Lonchura striata: one gene and its partner. The protein of the gene in region 2 purifies or fractionates together with the protein of the main gene of each other region. This does not show direct contact. Links are inferred from orthologs where the notes say so. Each region holds a gene or a part of one and is shown on either strand. Other genes may lie near its edges.

What was found. The genes of interacting proteins can lie anywhere in the genome.
Region 1: the proteins of CEP290 (region 2) and CCP110 purify together in Homo sapiens (co-immunoprecipitation; 6 studies listed by BioGRID and IntAct, with this or other methods). This does not show direct contact. The link is inferred for Lonchura striata from reciprocal best matches to the Homo sapiens genes CEP290 and CCP110.

The regions. Positions count from the first base shown.
Region 1 is NC_134618.1:10,063,458-10,070,790, forward strand, and holds the start of CCP110 (centriolar coiled-coil protein of 110 kDa), read left to right. Parts: upstream 1-4,239; 5' UTR 4,240-4,364; intron 4,365-5,032; 5' UTR 5,033-5,168; intron 5,169-6,273; exon of another isoform or gene 6,274-6,359; intron 6,360-6,441; exon of another isoform or gene 6,442-6,564; intron 6,565-7,141; 5' UTR 7,142-7,151; coding exon 7,152-7,298; intron 7,299-7,333. Other genes in the region: GDE1 (glycerophosphodiester phosphodiesterase 1), read right to left, coding at 8-100, 779-884, 2,532-2,707, 3,906-4,160.
Region 2 is NC_134607.1:51,705,063-51,712,739, forward strand, and holds the start of CEP290 (centrosomal protein of 290 kDa), read right to left. Parts: upstream 3,095-7,677; 5' UTR 2,848-3,094; intron 2,444-2,847; 5' UTR 2,227-2,443; intron 813-2,226; 5' UTR 756-812; intron 232-755; 5' UTR 208-231; coding exon 106-207; intron 1-105. UniProt on the Homo sapiens protein: Involved in early and late steps in cilia formation. Its association with CCP110 is required for inhibition of primary cilia formation by CCP110.

The sequences.
Region 1 (7,333 bases), on a different chromosome or scaffold from region 2:
ACATCACCTTATAAACAACGTCTGGCATGAAAGAACAGACAATGCTGCTGTTATACAACTGTGGAAATTCCTGGTAGAGTTGTTTCAGGGCATCAACTGCCTGCAATTAGAGACACACAGAGATGTTATACACACACTCATATTTAATTTACACTGCAAAGTCATTTTACAACAATCTTAAAAACACTTCCCTGCTGTGTTGCCAGATTGAAGTAGAAAGGGAGAAGAAAAATAGCATCTTGTTTATAGCATTAACACAGAAATGGTATTTTGGTTTTTAGCAAAAGAATTTCTGTTCATTATTTACAACGAGTAGGATTCTCAGTGTTTGAAATACCCTTAAATATGTCATGGATATAATTTTTTAGTACTACCTAAGCTTAAGTTGAAGAGGAAAATTATTTATTGCTATGTTTTGCTAAACTAAAGAAAGAAATTAATTTATATAAAATGTTAGTGATGGATCATTTGCATCTGCCTTCACTAATGCAAATTATAGATCCCTTTCTGGAGGCTGAAGATGAGGTTTTGACTCCCCTCAGCACCGCAGGGAATTCCCTTTGCTCTGTTTCACAGCAGTGCTGTGAGCTGAGTGCAACACTTGCACAAGGCTTGGGCAATTTTAAGCTGCAGCTTCCCAGGACAACTCTGGGTGACACAAGCAGCAGACCTGGGCTTGCTCATGTTAAAGAAGGGACTTGGTCTGAGACCAACACAACAGCAGGTCAGAAACCCAAAGAAGGGGTGAGGGGAGGTGTCATGCTGCAGTGAGCAGTACCTGGTTTGCATGGCCTTTGACATCGAAGTAGATTGTGAGATTGTGATGCATAGACTCCACAACAGCTTCTCTCAGAGTTGGTACCTTTTCATCTTGGAACTGGCTCCTGTAGAAACAGAGAACTCCTTGGAATGCAGCCAACACACACCTGCACATACATGGGCCTGCATATTGCCACCCACACAGGGCTGATTCCAGCACAGTTTGCTGCTGCACTGGAACTGCAGCTGGGATCCAGTGCTCACAGGCCCCGTGTCTGCCCCAAAACACCAGCCCCAGTTCTTCACCTCCTTCCCCAGATCCCACAAATAAGCTTTCAGTCCCAACTGCTGCCTTCCTCCTGCTCCCACTGCACTTCCCAGCCCTAGTCAGAAATGCAGATCCTGGCAGAACAGGCAAGACAAGCTGAGGATTTAGCAGAAGCAGCTTCACCCATTGTTACACTGTGACACGAAATAACTTTCAGAAGCAGGCTAGGTGTAAAAGGAAAGAAAACGAACTTTGAAAAGCAAACTTTATTTTCTAACTCCCCTATATATACAACATATATATATATAACACAAATATATATATATTTATATATATATATATAACAAAATGACAGCAGATTAGAGGGTGAAACTACCACCTCTCTAATTACACTAGTCAAACTAACAGTTCATCAATTCTCTCTACCTACAAAGAAAAACACAAAACAATCATTATTTGCATAAACAGTGTGTGAGAAAAATCAGTTAAAACATGTAAATATCAGAAAGTGTAAGAACTTTTAAAAGGACTTTAAAACTCTCAAAAAAAACCAAAGTAACAACCCATCAATAAATCATTCCTGATGGGGTGACAGTTCATTCACTCCTGACAGTGAACAGCAGCTGTTCAGCAGTCACTGCCTGTGGAAATTCCCCCTGCATGGCCCAAGTGATCACCCTTCCAGTGAGACAGGGAAGATACTCCTTGTGCCACACACTCACAGGAGGCACCTCTGCAGCTCTGGAATTCCCTAATACAGTGTCTCAGGAGCACACACTGCGAGTTCTTCCTCTGAAATGGACTCACTTATGATACTGCAGAAGTTGCCTTGTTATCAAATTCTTTGTAATTATATATTATATACATATATTATATGTATATATTATGTTATTATATGTATGTACTATTATATTATATACATATATTATATGTATATAACATTTTTATCAAATTCTTAGTAATGTATAAAAATATTTTCCCCTGCATACCCCTAGGAAGGACCTAATCAGCCACTAGGGTCACAGTGAGGCCACCACCCAAAATCTGTCCAGCTCCTCTTTAACAGTATAAACCTGATGTATAAGATCTCCAAAACACAATCAGTCAAGAAATACATGTGAATAAAACTAATCTTAGAAGTAATTCCTCTAGACAATTCTGACATATCATGAAAATCCCAGCACCTTCAGTGTCCTGCAGTCAATTTAGGACAAGCTTATGTAGATATTGACCTGTTTCACATCAGATGCCTGTGGATTTTGTCCTTGACTGTGTTTTTTTTTAATGTGTTTCACTGTTCTTAATCTACTGATGAGTAAAGAGATATAGTTTCATATGCCTAAAAAATCAAATTAGAAGTAATTTGACTAAGTTTTAGTCAAATTTTGGACTAAGTTTTAAATTAAAAGAAAAATTTAATCAGTGACAGATCAAATCAATAATGTTGTTCATCTAGAATTATTTTCCCACTGTCAAAAGTGTAATTTCAGAACAGTTCATTTACCGTAGCCTGTGTTTCGCAGATGGATCAAGCTTCCTGATTTCCTCAAAAGTCAGGTCCTGCAGTCTCCCAGCCCCATCAGTTGTCCTTTCAACTGTGTCATCGTGCATGAGGATGGGGACACCATCTGCACTAAATTCAAGATCCAGCTCCACACCCGTTGCTCCATTCTCAGCTGCCTTAAAAAAAATTTTAAAAATCACAACAGAAGAGACAGCTTTATAGATTTGACACAGGTACAGCTATAATTAGCTTGTATTTTGGTAAAAAATAATAAAACATTAATGGACTTTTCAGTTGTCTTCATCTGCAGAAAAAAAGTAGGTTTTATCCAAGTCATTGCTGAGCATTCAAAAATCAGCTGAACCATCTAATCTATTTTACAGCTGAAATCATAATGATTCTGCCTCAGTCTTGGGATTGGAACTTTCAGGATAAAAATGCAGAAAAGAATCCTGCTCTCTCCTGATGTAATAACCCTGGAGTCCTTATGTTATTTTCTAAAAGACAAGAGAAGCAAATGTCTACACTTTAACATGCAGTCAACGCTGTTCACCACGTGTATTCCAAGCAGCAGATGGATGGCAAATCCCTGCTCCTCTCAGGAATGGCTTTATCACAGAGCAAGAAGCAGCCAGGCTGCCTTAGAACATTTCATACACCCTGTTCCTGCCCTGGATCTTTCCCAAAAGCTCTTTAGAAAAACATTTGAGTAAAGTGTTAACAACACCAATTGCTCTGAAGGACAAATGCCCTCCTGGGAAAAGGGACAAACACCGGGTACAGAGGTTGCCTCCAGGTGTCTGCTTTGTAAGGAGTGTGCAGCTTCAGAATTTATCAGGACTGAGAATCCTGTCTCACACAAAGGCAAGAGATCCTCAGAGCAGCAACGTCTCAGCCTCACAGAAACACTACATTCCAGAGACTGGTAATCACTATCTCAAATGATTCTCAGAAAGAGACTGTGAATCCTGGCTGTGCCTTGGTGCCTTGCAGATGAGGCAGCAGTAAGGCATGGCAGGGCTGCCCACAGTGAATCTGGCACCAGAATTTTCTCCTAAATGTGGATTTTCATCACAGATCTTCAAGGTTTAAAAAAACACACAACCAGTTCCTGACTTGCTGTGCACTCTCTGTGTGCTGTTGCTACATCAGGGAAATCCAGTATTTCATTACTGCTGCACGGCTGAGTTACCCATCAGCACCAAGGCTACAACAGTTCCCACAAGAGCCGGATCTGAAGTTCCCTTTGGGATGAAGGACCCCCCGCCCACCCAGCTTCCAGCAGCTCTGGAAGGACGGCCGAGTTATCCGGGCGAGGGCGGCTCGCCGCGGGAGGGGCGGATCGGCAGGCAAAGCCCCGGGGCCCGCGCTGACCTGTCGGATGGCCGCCAGCGTGTTCTCGGGCGCGTCGTGCGCGCCGCCGCGGTGCGCGATGCGGCCGGCGGCGCCGCGGGGCCGCAGCACGCGCTGCGCGCTCTGGGGCGCCGCGGGCTCCAGCGCCAAGAGCTGCAGCGCCAGGTACAGCCCGGCCGGCAGCAGGCAGGCCAGCGCCGGGCTGCGGCTCAGCGCCAGCGCCAGCACCAGCAGAGCCGTCAGCGGGCTCAGCAGGCCCTCCCCGTGGCACAGCATGGCGCGGCCGGGGCCGGGGCCGGGCCGGGGTCACGGCCGCTGTCGGGCCGGAACCGCGGCCGCCGTCTCGCCGACGGTGACGGCGGCGCCATCAGCCAATCAGCACTCGGCTGTCTGCCGCAGCAGCCAATCAGCGCCCGCAGTGTCCGCGCGGCGCCCGCCTGCCGCGCTGAGGGCGGGCCCGGGCCCCAGGCTCCTCCTCAGGTAACGCCGGGAGCGGCGTGCGGGAAGAGGCTGTGCCTGATGGACACTGAGGGGAATAGGGGCTGTGCCTGATGGACACTGAGGGGAGCGGCAGGGGCTGTGCCTTAAGGACACTGAGGGGAATAAGGGCTGTGCCTGATGGACACTGAGGGGAATAGGGGCTGTGCCTGATGGACACTGAGGGGAGCGGCAGGGGCTGTGCCTTAAGGACACTGAGGGGAATAGGGGCTGTGCCTGATGGACACTGAGAGAAACAAACAGGGGCTGTGCCTGATGGACACTGAGGGAAATAAGGACTGTGCCTGATGGAACACGGGGCACTGACGGAAACAGGGGTTGTCTGATGGAACATGGGCTCTGCGTGAAACAAAGGCTGTTCCTGATGGAACACTGAGTGAAACAAAGGCTGTTCCTGATGGAACACGGGGCTCTGAGGGAAGCGGGGTGTTCCTGATGGAACATGGTGCGGATGAAAGTGAAGGGTGCTAATGGAAGGAAAGGCAGCGCTGTCCAGGGAGTCGCAGAACACCCGTGTGGATGGAAAGTGTTGAGGGCTCTCCGCAGCTATGCCAGCTAGCTAATTAGAAACATAACATCCATAGTGATTATTTTCCAGCTGTTTGCTGGGTTTGTTATAGACAGTGTTATATATAGTGTGTTCTATGCAGCCGTGCCTGTCCGCAGGCCAGCCCGGGAGCCGTGGGAGGAGCAGGCGGTGCCTCCTGCCCGGCCAGAGGCGGCTGCTGGCCAGGGAGCGCGGCTCCGGCCACCCGACACCTGTGAACATCCGCCAAGAACCCAGAGGTGAGCAACAAGGCACGAAAACAACCGGTTAAGTGAAGGGTGGGGAACCTGAGCAGGATTAGTCTAGAAGTGGGATAGCAAAGTGAGGAACTAGCAGTTTGTGTTGATGTGACTGGGGGGTTTGACCCTCTTTGGGTATCTGTGGGAAGTATGGGAAGCAACTGACTTTCCAGTGAGGAGCTCTGTCCAACTAGAGGTAGAACAGGCACAAGACCATGTTCTGAATGGTTGTAGTTTTTTTTTTTTTTTTTTTTTTTTTTTTTTTTGGTTTAGTTTTGTTTTTTGTTTAAATTGCTGAGATGAAGATTTGTCACATAATGTCCTAGCTGGTTCTGAGCATCTCAGATACTCTGTTAGTGGCTTTGCGCTTCTGCCAGGTGTAGCTGAAGAAAAATCAGAGATATACATGCAATTGCACAACAATTAATGGGCTGTCTAATTAGATGTCTAACATACTTTTAAAACCTTTTGATAAACAATAGCATTTGTTAAGATTAAAGATGAAATTTAAAAAAATAAATCCCCTCAATGATCGCTGAAGAGGTAACAGATGATGAACTTATTTTTTGAAACTAGAATGACAGCTTTAACAGCTCTAAATGCTGGGAATTAGATGCGTCCATATATTTAAATTAATTATGCCTGGCAAACAAGTGTGGATTTCCCTTCCACCTGACCTGCCTGACAGGTGAGTGTTACCTGCTGCTGGACTGGCTAGACCGGCAGCTGGCTGCAGCCCGGGCGGGAGGGATAGGATGTCTGGTGATGCCCGCATGGATGCTGTCCTGGTGGATGCTGTCCTCGCAGAGCATGGCAACAGGTGCTCACCTTTATCTCTCTTATCTTAGCGTGCTCGCTGAAACTGATACCTGCAGCGGCACATCCACAGGGACCGCACAGCCGTGTGGTCTGTAATGGGATGAAGCAGAACAGATCACACCCGTGCTCGCAGGGGAGCTTATCTGGGGGAGCTGTGGGTGGAAATGGGAGCTGCGGGACGGCGCTGCAGCCCCTGTCACCGGGCTGGGCCGGGGCTGCCTTCGCTGTCCCGCGGTGCGAGCGCACACGGTGTCGGCGGCGCCGGGCCCCCGTGCTCTGGGGGCGGAGCGGCGGGCGGGGCGCGCCGGGCCCGTGGAGCGGCGGCCCGGCCGTTGCGCGGCGGTTGCCGGAGCTGCCGCCAGTCCCGCGCAGGTACCGAGCGTTGGACGGGCCCGGGCCCGGGGGGAGCGCCGGGGCGGGGCGGGCGTGCATCGGCCCCGGCTGGGGCGGGCTCCGTGCCCCGCAGCGGCGGGCAGGAACCGGCCGAAGCGGCGTGCCGGCGAACAAAGCCTTGTCAGGCCTTGCCCGGCGCTGCGGGGCTCGCTCCGGTGGGGACGGGCAGTGAGACATCTTTCAGGTATTTGGCCGCTTTTAAGGATACGAGGCTGCAATTTGATTTTTTTTTTTTTTTCTTTGTGATGTAAGTATTGGCGTCTGTTCATACAGACGTGGAAGCTCGCGGGAGTGAGACACGAATTCCTCTCAGCCCCCTAAACATATAAAGGCTTTTTATTTTTTTTTAATTTTTTTTTTTAATTCAATTGGGCTGCAGGTTTGTTTGGGCCGGGTTTTGGGGTTTTTGTAACAATTGATAGGATGTGTCTCGTTGTGGAAGATCTCAAAGGTTTAGTCTTTGATGGAAATTATCTATAGTAGGTACAGTTTTGTAAATCCTAATTATCACAATGCGTGCTTTCTTCTCTGTGTGCCCGTGATCATAATTTTTGCTCTTACATGCAGATTCTCCTTTAATAGGGGAAAATAAGGAAGAATTTTGCAGGCTTTGTTAATGGTAGAAAGAAGACAAACTTAATTCAGTTTTCTAACGTAGAATTTGCTTCCCAAAACGTAGAGACACAGAATTAGTGGTGTTATTGTTTTCCCCTTCAGTGTCTTGGAAGTACATGGATGAGTAATGTTATTATTCTTTGCAGGTTAGACAACATGAAGATGGAGGACTATGAAATATTCTGTAGGAAGCATCTTTCCAGAATCCAAGAAGAGGCAATAAAAGGAAAAACCTCCTTGACTGTTCAGAACAAAAATATCTCCCTCATTCAATTCTATGGAGTTCCTGTGCTTTCCCCTCTGGTAAGGCCTTGTTTTATTCCTTTTCCTCTCTGGTG
Region 2 (7,677 bases):
TATCAATGAAATACACAAAATAAATCTTTCATGCATGTGAAGGACCAGAAATGGTTTAGGGAAGAAGGTACAACAAAACCCTCAAGTTCCCTTCTTCTCAAGCACCTTGACCATGATATCCAGCAATCTGTCTGCTAGCTCCTCTTGATGAGGCAGAGTATCTGGATCAACTTTCATGAGCTTCCTCCAATCTAAAACAGGTGCCATATTGAAGGTATGACTTCTTTTTTCCTGGAACAAAGATTAAAATAACAGTTATCAGGTATTATCAGTGCAAACCAATTTTAGGTCAAATGATTTAATGGAGGCTGGCCACTGAACACACCAGATGACTTCTAATAACTGTAACACTGATCAACATTCTGTTCACATTTTGATCTATTGCAATCTAGGAGGCTATAATAAAAATACTTTTTCTTTATGTTAAGAATTACACCATCCGTACTCAATGAATTCTTAAAACTATTAGTGAAGATCAGGACACACATGAAACCTGTATGTTAACTTCAATATCCTTGTTTTCTTCCCTATCTTTTAATTTGGTATTTTTATGCCAGTGAACAAACACAAGAATTATTATCTCTAATATTTAAAACACAACACTTTCAGTTTGATACTGTGAGCACCAACTTCTTGACATTGTATTAAACATTTATTTTTGGTTAGAATACTTGAATTGACAAAGGACATTAATAAACCTGGAAACTGAGAAAAATCTCATCAGAAAGTGGTGTAAAGCTTTTTCTACTGCTTACCTACTGGTTGTTGTGGGCCACAGTGATTTCTCACATACCTGAAAGTCAATGCAGTATCTGAAAAAGGCAGAAGGGATAGGAAATCTTGGATTATTCTGTTCTTTGGAGCTGTCTCTAGACTTTCTGATCAATATTTCAAAAAGTAAATTCTGCCAAATTTAGAACAGAATATATTTAATCGACTTATTGCCCTAAATTATTATTATAGCACAAATGGTTAATAAAAATTAAGAAAGAAATAAAGCTAACTACAATAGTAAATGCAGTATTATTCAAAAAAACTAATGACACAGCAGGGGTATATATTTTATAGGAAAAAATCAAGCTCAATCAATAACTTCAGCAATGCTGTATACGGAATACAGCATTTTGAGATCTGATCCAGCACACACCCTGTTCCTCATTCAGCAGTTTAAAGACTCAACAACTGAAACCTCCTTCATTAATAAAAGGCTGAAACTGATATTACTTTCCAAAACAAATATGTCTAAGCACTCCGAAAGAAGAGCTGTCACAGAAATACAACTGTACACTTAATGGAGGATAAAAAAAACCTTCATCCTTTCTGAGTATGTGAACTACTTGAAAGGTCCCCTATATTTACTAAATTTCTTCAATATTTGCTAATCATATAACATGTATTATATTCAACCCATGACTTCACAAGGATAACACCTTGTATACATTATTGCTTTTCTGTTTTGTTGTAATGGCAAAGGATAATCCAAGGAGAATACTGGCACTTTGACTCATTCAGTTAACTGAATACTACTTGATTTCAGCAACATACTTGTCTAAGGATCAAAAGTCTTAAACACATTCATTTTTTCTTAAGTAATGAGATGTAAAATTTAGGATTTTTAAATGCTCAACAATCAAAACTATTCTGAAAGCAAACACACAAACTCACTACTGTTAATCCTTTCCTACCTTCCATCTCTTCATATATCTTTTCCCCTTAGCTTACAAAATAATGTCCTAAGAAAATATCAGTCCTAAAGTTTTATCCAGAAGGATAAAACATAATTGAATTGTACATAAACAACTGAATCCAACTTGGTGGGAGAGCAGCTACAGTAAAGTAGGGGGGCACAACCTATGCACGGATTATGTTCCACAGTATATACATAGTGTGAAAGAATTTATTTAAGTGAAAAGTTTTTCATCATTTTGCTCATCTGTTGTCATCAACTAAAACCCGTGGTTTTAGTAAACAGATGATCCATGTGATGAAGCGCTGAGCTCATGGGTCTACAAAATGTGTGAAATAGATGGGGATTTGGTATTAGTTACCACAAGATTTTCTGGATTTATCCAGGGAATTAAGCACACATAAAACGGCCAGATAAAGTTCAGCAGACTTAGATGGAAAAGGAAGTCTGGAGGGTATGCTCAAGTACTACCAGAACAACAGTGCCCTGGTCTGACTACAGGAAACCACGCGAGCCAAGCTCACATGGAAATATCTTACCATTGCAGTGAGATCAAGCACCACTGGGAAGAGCTGACCTTTTCCCACCAGGGTGTGTATAATGGGCAGCAGAGTAATGTGCACAGGAGGGAGACTTAACATCAAGAAGCACCACAGTCACGCGGGAGATGTGATCTGCTAACTCCGCATTTGTTTACACTGGGTATTCCAGTTTAAGCTGCTTTCGACTTTCAAATTGCATTTACCCGGAGTAGCTCTGCGAAGCACAAGATCTTAATTACAAAACCCCAATCAAGAGAGGATCTTCGCAGGTTCCCATTGTTTCCTGTTTGGCATACCCCAGACACAGGATACAGTGACAGCCCGGGATCCCTCCAGGATGCTGCTGAGACAGCTTTGTCCCCGTTTCATCGCAGCTCTACTGAACTAACAGTTTGCCTTATTCTGCACTCGCCCCCGCAGCGAGGCGCGCAGAGCAGCAGCCGCGGGCAGACGCGGCGGTCGCTCCAGCCGCGGGCTCCGCCGCCCGCGCCGCCCGGGGCCCGCAGGAGCGGAGAGCCCCGCCGCCCCCGGCCCGGGGCTCCCGGCGGAGCGCGGGCCGCTCGGGCTGCGGCAGCTTCGGTCTCCTTGCCCGGAGCACCCCCCGCCCCGTGGCCTCACCGCTCCCGGGGGATGACGGTGGCCGCTGCCAGGCGACGCCATCGGACTCTCCCGCAGATCCGGATACTCGTGGGCGCAGGGAAAGTCAGCGCTTCCGTGGCACCCACAGACAAGCCCCACGGCGCCAAGCGGGCTCTCCCGGTCCCGATGGGCAGCCAAGCGGGCAGGGCGCGATCCCCGCCGACAGCGCCGCTTCGCCGGGGCAACGGCCCCTAGCGCCGCCCCCGCCACCGGGCGGGGTCTACGGGACTACAGCTCCCGGCATGCATCCGGGCCGACCGCACCGCCCGCCTTTTTCCCGACAGCCTCTAGGGGGCGGAGAGCGGCGCGGCGCGCGTGCGCCGTGTGCGGCGGCGGCGGCGCGCGCGGTGGGTGTCGGTTCCGGCGGCGGGGCCGCGGTCCCGGTCCCGGTCCCGGTGTTTGTCCCGGCCTCAGGTAGGGCGGGCACGGCCCCTGCGGCCCGCCACGGGCCTTGCCGGGGATGGGGGGAGGAAGGGAGGGTGGAGGGGTCCGGTGTAGCTGCTGCCCGCGGTGGTTTCGGTCCGCCGGCCGTGCCCGCCGTGCCGCGTCGCTGGGCACCCGCGCCTGCCGCGCTGCCGGGCGGCCCCGACCGCTGCCACGGCGCTTGAGCGGCGTCCGGGACCGCGCCCTGGCTCCGCCGCCCAGCCTGCCCTTTCCTTCCCTGCCTCGCCCCAAGCTGCGGGCAGCGTGTCGGTTCCTGCCCGGCCGGCGGCTGCCCGGGTGCGCCTGTGCTTTGGGAATACGGAGGGAACAGTGGGGGCCGGAAGGCACGGGAAAAATCACACCTATAAACTACTTGAATCCATTGGGTACTGTTAGCCAGCAAGTCTGAGTTTTGGTTGTGGTCTGATAACGGAGGAAGTTTGGGATCCTGTGTTTTAGTTAAATGGGTGTGAAAACATCTTATCAAATAAAAACAGTACCATTGTAGGCGTGTTTATCTTTTTGCATTTGTTTTTTCAATAGCTGTGGAGAGCTGAAGTGGATTTGGGGTTTTTGTTTCTTTTTAATGGTAAGAGAAAGGTCCTTTTTTTTTCGTCCTTTTTTTGGATTAATAATTGTTTTCAGTTGTTTTGCTATCTCTTAATCCATGTTGATGTTTACTAGAGACTGACAAGATGCAAAATGCCTTGCACTCCTTATAGTTATGCAGTTGTTCCAGTCACAGCACAACTCCAAAGACTTCCATATCTCAGCTAGGGGTTGGATAATTATAGTTCTGTATTAGGTACAGAAAGCAAACTGTATACTTAGGGAAGGGAAGAAGACTGGGTATATTTAATGAATGGGTAATGTTACTAAAAATTAAAAAATTATAAAATTAATTATGATTAAGTGTAAAACAATGATTTCTTAGTAGCAGGGAATTTTATAGGTATAGGAAGTGACACAGAAAATAATGTCACCTTAGTCACAAACTAAGCCTTCAGGAAAGGAATATTTCTGTGGTAGAGAAAATATTCCATTGATGCTAGAATGCTTCTGTATAGGAGGTTTTTTTTAAAATCATCATCATCATAACCAGTTGTTAATGCCAGTGTAGCTATTTAATGTACTTTATTTAATATGCATCAGCATTTTTGAGTGTTCTGTTGCAGAATCAGCAGAGAGCATGTTATTACATTTACTGGTAGTGAAACCATATCTGGGTTTCAATTGTGTAGTGCAGCTAGTAAAGACCATTGGTGCAGAAGTAAAAGGTATTTGGATTTGAAGCTGGCATGGGAACTCCAAAAGTTAAAAAACAGTAAAAGGAATTGAAGTATTAATGCCAAATGAAAATGAAAATATTCAAAATACAGCATGGCATGGACCAAGTAAATTAGTTTTTCTTATGTTTTGCACCACTTCATATGATGAACTTTGTGTAAGTGAATCTTCTTTTAGTGGGATTAGATACTTACAGTTCTGGAGCCAATAAATAAATTCAACTGCACAGTGAGCGGTTTGACCTACTCTGTTAGAAGAGTTAGGCATACTTGTTAAATCACAGCTTTGATAACAGTGTGCCCTTGCAAAGACCTAACAGAAAAACCTCACCCTGAAAAGCCTAATGGAATGTTATTTAAAGTACGGAGGAAATCGTATACAGACCCAGCGTAAGTAAGGACAGAGTAGCAGAGTCTAAAGGCTGTGTTCTCAGTTTATACCTCACATGTAGCTTTTGTTCATTTATTCTTTGGAGTAAACAAGCAAGCAGTTTCTGCTGTTGCATTTCTGGAACACTGAGAGCGATAAGTGTTATTTTAGAGACACTTTTTGTATCAGTAAGGCCACAAAAGATGTTTTATGTAGTCACTAAACAGACTGGGTATTATTTTGCTACTGTTTAACATTGAAATGTGAGATTCTGTTACTAATTTAAGTTTCTAAGTCCTTAAAGTACAAGCAAGACCTGTGTGGTTTATATTTCAAGTGGCATGTACCAGTTACATTGAACAAATTGAAGATAAACCACCAGCTAAATCAGTATCTTTGTCTCACCCATTTTAAACTGTGTTACATTTTGGTCCTTGTTTCATCAGAGTAACCTAAGATGTCACAACTGTTAGTCCAGCCGCCAGGTGGCCAGCAAGTTCTTTTCCAGTGGGAGATCTTTCATCTGGCTTGCAACACGTGTTCTGACTTTGTATCAGAACTTCCAGTGCTCTTCTCATTAATCCTTCAGAACCATGTGAAGAGAAGGCTGGAGGCCATGAGCTTCCTATATAGTGAAGAGTATTTCCTAGTAGTCCCATGCCTCTTGATCTGGTAGTGAAAACCTTGCAGAAGGTTTTCACAATAAAACTTTTCGTGTAATATTTATCCTGGTTTAGGATTTCAGCAAGATAAAAAGGAAATTCAGGCATGTTTTGTATTATTTCTCCTTTCATATTTCCAAATACTTGTTTTCTAGATGAGATTCAAGCCCAATCTCAGCTGTGCATCTAAGTTGCTTCATATTGGAGTTGTGTCTTGGAAGTGGCAAAAATAAGCAAAGGCTAGCAAGTAGGAAATAAAAATATCATTTTAATTCAGCTTCTGAGGCTGTGCTAATATCCTAATTTGTAAGTGACTGTACCAGCGGTTTGTATATATCTCTGCTGATGTTCAGCTACCAGCTCTTAGATGAACTAGTTGCTCACCTGTTTAAAAATAGTTGCTCACCTATTTAAAAATAAAAGTAACCCTAGGAGTGGTTTTAACAGCTTTTAACTTTATCACCTTTGATAATTTGAAGGTTTTTTGCGTGAACTGTAAATAATGTTCTAAGCAGTTCAGAACCTTCAGTGATGAATAAAGTTTGTGTCTAGTACATAAATATCCAGTATTGCCTCATTATTCTTTAGTAAATTGGCTTAGCACGTTGTTAATGCCTTTCAATCCATGCAAGTGCCATTACTCAATAGAAGAAACAAATTTAAATGTATGTTTGTGTTTTCTTATATTCTAAAAGTGCTTTGACTATTTTGGTCGTTGTTACTTTGTTTTTTCTCGGTGCTTTTTTTCAGTTTTGTGAGACTCTTACGTTTTACTCTTGTCTGTTATTCTTGAAGACTGCGTGAAGTATTAGATTGATCTCAAGAAGCTGGAACAGGAAAACTATGTACTTTATGAGCCAAATGGACTTGAGAGTTCTGGTTCTATTTTGTCCTTTCCATTTAATGTCTCTGTACAAATGTGAAAATGGTGCAGTGCAAAGTGCAGATTTCTGTGCCAAACAGCCTCAGAAATTTAGTCCAATGATAGGCTGTTTTGCAGCCTGGGTATTCTTTCTTTTGCAGTTGACTCTGATGACTACAGTGCATTTTCTGACTATCAAGGTTTACCTTGCTGTTCATTGTTTTCATCTGTATATTCTTCATGATGGTCAGATATTGTTGTAAATTAAAGTATCCAATAGAAGTCTTTGTAATATAGTATGTCTGTCCTGATTTCATCCAGTCTGTGGCTGTGCACTAGACCAAAAGCTGGCAGTCATACCCAAGGGGTGGTTAAGGTATCTGAGGGGCAGTCTTAGAAGCTGTCAAAGTAGTAGGTAGGTGAGATGAAAAAATAACCTGAGGGATGTTCAGTCTGTTTGCATGTTTAGGACTAGGCAGTGATGTGGAACAAGGGCAGTTCACCCTTGCAGCAAGTCTCTTTTAACAAAGAAGTTGTTAAGCAACATTTTGCAGGTGTTTATCAAATACATCCATCACTGGATGTGAAGTTCTGGCACTTGCAAGACCATACTTGGGTTGATCAGCATGTCACTTGGGTATAAGAAGGAGAATTATTTCCACTCACGTGAGCAGCCCAGTCATATCAAGGCTTCAGCAGCCTCTTGCACGTCTGTGATTTGCAAGGATCTCAGTCTTATATACTCCTTACATGGCTTCTTACTTTCCAACATCAAACTGATAATAGATTGGTTGGTGTGAAAGCAATTTTGGTTGCCAAGAAGCAGTTGCTGTTTTCCACTGAGTTTAATGGCAGTCATACTTTCGCCTGGCTTACCAAGTACAGATGATCTTTTATAAACCTCTGCTTTAGTTTTGCATTCTCAACATGTTGGTGATCATTGCAGGTTTGGAGTTTGGAGTGTGAAGGTGGACCCAGCTACAGTAGCAGATAGGAGGTGGTAGTTCTGATGGCAAGACTTGCTCAAAATCTGCATTGTTATGCTAACATAAAGGAATGCAATTTTTTTATTCCATATTTATGCTTTAAGTCAGCAAAAGCATTAAAAGTACCCTGTAATCAAAGCAGGTGGAAAAAAGTAATTTTCGTAACTCTGTGTATCATTATGGTACATTTCAAGAAAATAAGACCTTAGAATGCCAGAAT